Linked DNA regions of Elephas maximus indicus. The main gene of each other region encodes a partner of the protein of the gene in region 2 in a complex. Links are inferred from orthologs where the notes say so. Each region holds a gene or a part of one and is shown on either strand. Other genes may lie near its edges.

Region 1 (3,752 bases), on a different chromosome or scaffold from region 2:
CAACCCACCTAACAGCACCACAGAAGAAAAGCCCTGCAATCTGCTTTCATGCAGATTACAGGCAACAAAAACCCTATGGAACAGTTCTATTCTGTAACACAGGGGGCTGCCATTAGCTGGAACCCACGAGGTGGCAAGAGTTTTTTTTTTTTTTTTTTGGTTTGTTTTATAGGAGCTACATTAATGCTTTACATATAACAAAACCAATCAAAATTTTTAAAAAGCAATACTGAAAGGCTGGAAACAAAATGAAATAAGTGAATCAACTAAATATCAAGTTGGCAGCCTGCCATTTAAATTATTTCATATGCCTTTAATAAAATAATTTTATTGCACATATCCCTAGTGGAGTAAAAACTAAGGATAAAAAAGAACTGCAAAGAAATCCTAAACACCACTTGGGAATTATATGAATAATAATATAATTATATGAATTATATGAATATGAATAATAACAATAATTGGTATTGTTAATTTGAAACCATTACATAATTATAGGATAAGGCAAAAAAGAAATATTTAATGACATTAGGTACCAAGATTTTCAGCAAGAGAAAAAGATACAAATATAAAATCAAACACATGATTTAAAAAAAAAATCTATAATATTAAACTGGAAATGTCATTGTGAACTCTGTACATTTCTCTTTTAGCTCTGGCTACTGTAAATCGTAGAACCAATGACCACCTAAAAGGAACCAGGGCTCCTTGGAGGCCAGAAATGTATAGATGACCAGGAATATGTTTTACTAGGAAGCAAGAAAATTATCAGAGACTACTGGAGTCATGTCAAAAAGAACAAGAGCCAACTTAAAAGGACTTCTGCTAGTTAAAGATAGTACAATTTGACTATCAAAGAAAAGAACAATGATTCCAATAGGTCAAAACAGTTAAAATATATTCAAATCTATGAGTATATGATGATAAAAAATTAAAAAAAGCAAAAACCTGCATGGTTACCTTTGGAAGTTGCTAGGGCACCGACTCATTACTGTAGTCTGAAAATAGAGGGAAAGAGGTAAGCATTTTTCTCGCCTTTCCTGTACAAACTGTATGTCAGGATAATCAAATAGCTGATGAGGGAAAGTCATCCTTCATAAAAGATTTCCACCTAATAAATACAGAAATAATGAAAAAATTGCAAAATCACCATTTTGCAAACCCTAATGCAATAATTTGGTGGCGTAGCGGTTAAGTGCTATGGCTGCTAACCAAAAGGTCGGCAGTTTGAATCCGCCAGGCATTCCCTGGAAACTCTGATGGGGCAGTTGTACCCTGTCCTGTAGGGTCACCATCAGTCGAAATCGACTCGATGGCAACAGGTTTGGTTTTTTTTTTAATGCAATAATAATAGGATCAGACAGTGTTTTGTTCTGTTGTACATAGGGTCGCTATGAGTTAGAAGGACTGGATGGCACCTAACAACAACAATGCAATGATTAGGAGCCCTAGCGGTGCGTTGGTTAAATGCTCGGCTACTTACTGAAGGGCCTGCAGTTTGAACCCACCAACTACTCCATGGAAGAAAGATGTGGCAGTCTGCTTCTGTAAAGATTACAGCCTTGGAAGCCCTATGGGGCAGTTCTACTCTGTCCTATAGGATTACTATGAGTCAGAATCAACTTGACAGAAAATACCGCAATAATGGATACAGTAAATCTAACCCACAAAAGTATTTTACCAACAGGTGAACCGCTCATAGGAGCTTTTATGATGAATGGATTGGGCTAACAACACCTGAACCCACTGTTCACAAAAAGAGACCACTCAGACACTACCTGCCCCCCGACAATGATACAATAGCAAGTACACTGCAGCACCTATAAAATATTCTTGCCCCCACTCATCAAAAAAAGAAAAAAATCAAGGGTGAATATGATCAAGCTTATAGGTAAGTGCTCTTCAACAGAGCTTTATGCAATTACGGAAATTATGGGCGACTGGGCTTAAAATGTGGCTAATGCAGCTAATGAAATAAATTTTTAATTTTAATTAATCTAAATAGCCACAGTTGGCTGGTGGTTACCATATTGGACAGTGCAGTTCTATATCTAATGGTTTAGCAGAAATAACAGAGGTACAAGTTAAAGGATACCACATAGCTACAACCAGCTAAATCTAGATGGCAATGAAAAAAGGGGAAAGAGAAAAGCAAATTACTAAGATTGTAACAGACTTAAAAAGTATATCAACCAAATGTAACATGTGGGTAGATCTTTACAAGACTTTCATCCAAACAAGCGAACTGTAAAGACATTTATGGGATGGTTGGTGAAATCTGAACCCTGCCTGGATATTGACATTATAGAATTATTAATTTTGTAGGTGTGATGACAGTATCATGGTTTTGTAAAACCGAAAAAAGAAACCTCTGTTCTTGGAGGGAAAAACCCGTAAGTAACATAAAAATCAGAAATTCAATTCCTGAAACCTTATGTCATAATTGGCTTTGGCAGAACAAGTCAACATTGGAAAAAAAAGGAATGATCTAATGAGAGAGTGGACTACTCACCATAAGGCTAAGGGCTTCTACCTCTTAAGTGGAGGAAAATGGCATCAGTACAATTAATATATATACTTATCACAAATTTTTTACATCTGAATTTACATCATTTTAAATGGCAGTGTCAATCCAAATGTTTATAAATCTCTAATCCATTTTAGTTTAAAGCCTTTTTTAAAATTATACCTATCTCTGATAATGACATAGTCAAAAGGCAAGCAGCAAGCAAGTTTGAGAAACAAATGGAAATTTATAAGAATGAATAATTTTTTCAAACCTTCTGAATTCAGGATAAAAATTAAAGACAGTATTGTATTCCACATAAGAAAAGATATACTTTTTATTGTATCATTAAGCTCTAGCTATTAAGTGTATGGAATCTCTGGGTGGTGCAAAGGTTAATGTGCTGGGTTGCTAACCGAAAGTTTGGAGGCTCAAGTCCATCCAGACGCACCTCAGAAAAAAGGCCTGGCAACCTGCTTCTGAAAAATAAACCATTGAAAATCCTGCAGAGAACAGTTCTACTCTGACACACATGAGGTCGCCATGGGTCGGGATGAACTGGATCATTTTTTTGTTTTGTTTTGGTTTAAGTATAAACGTAAATATTTGAAGGTAAAGTGTAGTTGATGATCATTATCATGATTTCCTCTTCATCTACAGCCTTGGTGGCACAGTGGTTAAGAGCTCAGCTGCTAACCAAAAGGTTTTAAGTTTGAAGCTCCTTGGAAACTGTGAGGCAGTTTTACTATCCTATATGGTCGCTGAGTTGGGATTGACTCCACCAAAATGGATTGTTTTTTTCTTCATCTCTATGAAATAAAAACTAAATGCTAACATGAGCATTTATAAGGACCTGTACAAATATGGGAATCTACAATATCGCTTTATTAAAGAAATAAAGTAGCTTTCTTTAAAAATCGGTTTAGGGAATCAGACGCAAAAACTAAGTGCTCAGGGGAAACTACTTTATGGAAGTGTACTGCACTGTTAATTACAAAAAAAGACTAGTCTCTGACAGCCTTATATTTCTCTCCTGATGTTACAGGGACACAAGAAAAACCCCATCACGAGCTAGATTTACTGTCTCTATTTTCAGGATTAAAGTGTTTCTAAGGAATCGCCGTTTTTAACCCACTCTTACGTGGTTCCCAGTCCTGACTTGCACGCATGGAGCAATCAGTTCAGGGTTCCCCAACTTCAGTCCTTCCCGAATTTTGCCACATCCTCGTACTTCCTGTACTAAATA
Region 2 (3,752 bases):
TTTCTCTGAGGAGCAGCTGGTTGGTTTCAATCGCGAACATTTTGGTACAAAGCGGAGCACTTAACTGATGCACCACTAGGGCTCCTTCTTAAAAGTGGGCAACTAACATGATAATTCATTAAAAAATGAAATGTAAATGCTCAGTTAACTTGAAAAGATGCTTAAGCTCATGGAGTAGTCAACCAAGTGCTCATTTAAACAACGGAATACCATTTTCAACAACTAGATTGAAAAAGGAAACCCTGGTGGCAAAGTGGTTAAGTGCTACGTGCTGCTAACCAAAAGGTCCGCAGTTTAAATCCACTGGGCGCTCCTTGGAAACTCTTTGGGGCAGTTTACTCTGTCCTGTAGGGTCGCTATGACTCGGAATCCACTCAACCGCAACAGGCTTTTTTTTAGGTTGAAAAAGATAAACTGGTAATAAGTGGTGGTTAATTAGGTACTCTCATGAATTGCTGGTGAAAGTATGGCCTGCTAAAACCTTCTTGAAAACTATCAACAATAATATATTGAAGATGAACATTTGCACTAGTAATATTAATTTTAAATAAATTTGCAGATACTTTATACCACTAGTAAGAACAATGAATTAAATATTTATTGATTCAAAGAGATGGCCATTAAAAAAAAATCAAGATGCTATTTAAAAATTTTTAATAGTAGACTTGTTATGGCTTTCTTACTAGGTAGGTAACTTTTTCTGAACTCATTAACAAGACTCTAAAAAAGTATGTCTAACCTTTTGTGACACTCTGGCCCAGTATTTATTTCATTGTCCCTAGTTATAAAAATTTTCTTTGCCCTCCTTGCAATAAGAAGAAGCACCAATAGGTGTTTATTAAGTCGATCACAACTCATAGTGACCCTATAGGACAGAGAGCTGCCCCATAGAATTTCCAAGGAGTCGCTGGTGGATTCCAACTGCCAGCCTTTGGGTTAGCAGCCAAATGCTTAACTACTGCGCCACCAGGGCTTTGTTTAGTCGATAAAACATTAGAAACAAAAATTTCGTTGTTTTTGCCTCATTTAATAGCTTGTTATAAGCATCCTGAAGGCAGAATTAAAATGTATCTGTCTCCCTCCCCACCCCACACCGTGTATATTGTCAATTCTGACTCCTAGGCACACACAGATAACCGCTGAATAAATATGATACATGAATGCTAACCTGTAGCGATTCATTATTTCTATAAAAAATTTTTTTGAACACCTAAGGAGTGTTGGGTTATATCCCAGGCGCATCTAAGACATGGCGCCAGCCCTGAACAGCTCAAGGTCTTAGGGAAACAAGCATAGACGCTAAGAGTTACAATGATACATTGTAATAAATTCTGTAGTAGAGCAAAGAACAAAGCACAAACTATCTTTACCTCTGAAGAACGGAAGCTGAGAGATGTTTCCCAAAAGAAGAAACTTCAGATTAGAAGTAGATCTTAAAGGACACAAAATGGGTGTAAACGGTTAAGAATGATGGCATTCATTCTGGCTCCTCCATTTACCAGCTGTGCAAACTTGAGCAAACTGTTTCCCTTTCATAACTAATGAAATGAAGGCAAAAATAGTGCCCACTTCAAGAATGGTAATGATGACGCTGAAGATAATGTATATTAAGTGCTTAACACCATGTACCAATCAATACATATTGATTTTGTTGTTATTAAGACATCGCTACTGATGGGTAGGAGAGGTTATGGGAACAAACAAGAACCTCAGTACATCTAGGAAAAAGATGAATGAGCAGCCTGTGGTAAACCTTACTTCAAACAATAGGACCTGCTCTCTGATGAAAAGGCCACCCCCAGCCCTTCTCCCCCGTGGTATCAGTCACTCCAAAGTTGTGCACTTTCAGAAAACCCGGTGGCTAGCGCGCCTTGGAAACCCTACGGGGCAGTTCTACCCTGCCTATAGGGTCGCTACGAGTTGGAATTGATTCAACAACGGGTTTTGTTTTGTTTTTGCACTTTTAGACTGTATTTCTACTTGTCTTACGGTATCAACTTCAGCTTCTCTTACTTCGTGGAGCGCATTCGCCTATCTAGTGAGCGTATACAAACTGCCACTCTTGTGGGGAGGTGAGGAAACTTGGCTTGACTCAGCCTGAAACTCAAGCCCATAAAATAGAAAGGGTGAGGGGCCACGAAGAGCGGTTGTAGGACGTGCCCCTGGAGTCGGGAAATTCCATTCACTTGCTAGCTTCTCTCCTAGAATGGAAATACCTGGAGAGCACCAGCCTGTTTTAGCCTCGCAATACCAGACCTACCCACTCATTCACCAATCGTTTACCAAACGTCGGTGGCAGTCCCTGTTCCGAACGAGGGGAAGAAAGCAGCGGCGACCTACGACCGTGTTCGGTGATGGGCGCTAACAGAGCGGCCTGAACGCACGGACTCCGGGTGCCCGCGGGGCCGCCGAGCAGCCCTGGCACGCGGCAGCCACCGCAGCCCGAGGGAGGCAGCCATGAATGGCCCCGCAGGAGCGCGCAGCCTTACCGGGGACGCAGCGCGGCGCCGCCCACGGCACGGCCAACAGGAGCGCCAGGCGGACGCTGCACGGGGCCGCCGCGCCAGGCCGCAGCCCCGGGGCCCGCGTCACACGCCCCGCTCAGCGCGCCTGAACAGAGCGCCTCTGTGAGCCAGGCGCGGCGGGGCGACCGGGCGGGGTCCCGGGGGCCCTGCAGCCTGCGGGAGGCCAGCGGCGGGCCCCGGGGAAGAAGGGGTGCGGGTGACGCTCCAAGGAGCTGAGCCCGCGTCCGCCGACAGCCGGCGCTGCGGTGAGGCCGGGGGCTCAGCTCCGGCAAGCCTCCACCCAGACCCTGACGACCAGATCGCCTCTGAGCCCAGCCCCAAGGCTAGCCGCGAAGCGAAACTCACCAGAGGCCACAGATGCCGTCGCCGCGGGGAAACTCCGGCCCTGTCGGAAGACCAGCTTCTGGCGAACCCCTCTCCCCCGGCTCTCATCCGCGAGCGCCTTCCTGGTGACAACCGAACCCTGGGGCGCTGAGGCCTTGAGGAGCAGCCGTCTCCTTCAATCCCGGCTAGAAGTTCGCCCTGTGCGCGGGCCCATGCCGACTGGGGGCGGGGCGAAGAGGCGGAAGTCCCCGCCCTCCTCAAGCTTGGTTGAGAAGTCCGCCAGCTGTCGCAAACGTACGGCTGTTTGAAAGCGGGCGCCAGAGGCGGCGGGAAGTGCCTCTGTACGTCTATTGGTGGATTCGTGAGCCAATTACGAGAAGGCTCCCTCTCGGGTGGGCGGGCTTATCGGTTGCCTAGAGTCGCGCAGGCACCTGGCGTCCTGCTTTCGGCCCTCGCCGACCCACCTGGCTGGAACGCCAGCCCTTGGCTGCCGCTGGCTGATGCGGCCGGAGGCTGGAGCGGTGACTCCTGCCCCCGCGCTTCTCACTCCTAAACCCCAGTTCTCGGCCGCTGGTCGGAAGCCCTCAGTCTCTCCACCGAGCTCTCGCCTTGGGGGCTTTGCATTTGCCCTTCCGTTTCTTTAAGGTGCCTATAGGGTCGCTATGAGTCGGAATCGACTCGACGGCACTGCGTAGAGACTGGCCTCCACCTGAACAGCCTCAGATACTGCTTCTCTTTGTCTTCTGGCTTACTAGGTCTTGCCTTGTTTTAATTTGTGTTTCTGTAATTACTGAAGAGGTGGTCCGTTTTCCCTCGGAATTATTCACTACTTGAATTTTCTCGAATGTGAATGTTGTCACTTAGGTGTATGTTTGTCCTTTAAGACAGCACTACCAGTCTGCC

The links. Proteins that work in one complex are often made in the same cells at the same time.
Region 1: the proteins of CEP152 (region 2) and CEP63 are in contact, whole or in part, in a crystal structure (PDB 6CSU), measured with the Homo sapiens proteins. The link is inferred for Elephas maximus indicus from reciprocal best matches to the Homo sapiens genes CEP152 and CEP63. Residues at the interface, in NP_001181927.1 of Homo sapiens: Gly1261, Ala1262, Glu1265, Leu1266, Gln1269, Tyr1270, Lys1272, Ala1273, Lys1276, Ile1277, Asp1280, Met1281, Tyr1284, Glu1287, Ser1288, Arg1291, Ala1292, Met1295, Ala1298, Arg1302; in NP_001340037.1 of Homo sapiens: Phe666, Glu669, Glu670, Arg673, Ile677, Arg680, Leu681, His684, Glu687, Leu688, Glu691, Ser692, Thr695, Phe699.

The regions. Positions count from the first base shown.
Region 1 is NC_064844.1:45,037,239-45,040,990, forward strand, and holds the start of CEP63 (centrosomal protein of 63 kDa), read right to left. Parts: upstream 2,690-3,752; 5' UTR 1,092-2,689; coding exon 961-1,091; intron 1-960. UniProt on the Homo sapiens protein: Required for normal spindle assembly.
Region 2 is NC_064828.1:6,614,008-6,617,759, reverse strand, and holds the start of CEP152 (centrosomal protein of 152 kDa), read right to left. Parts: upstream 2,952-3,752; 5' UTR 2,871-2,951; intron 1-2,870. UniProt on the Homo sapiens protein: Necessary for centrosome duplication; the function also seems to involve CEP63, CDK5RAP2 and WDR62 through a stepwise assembled complex at the centrosome that recruits CDK2 required for centriole duplication.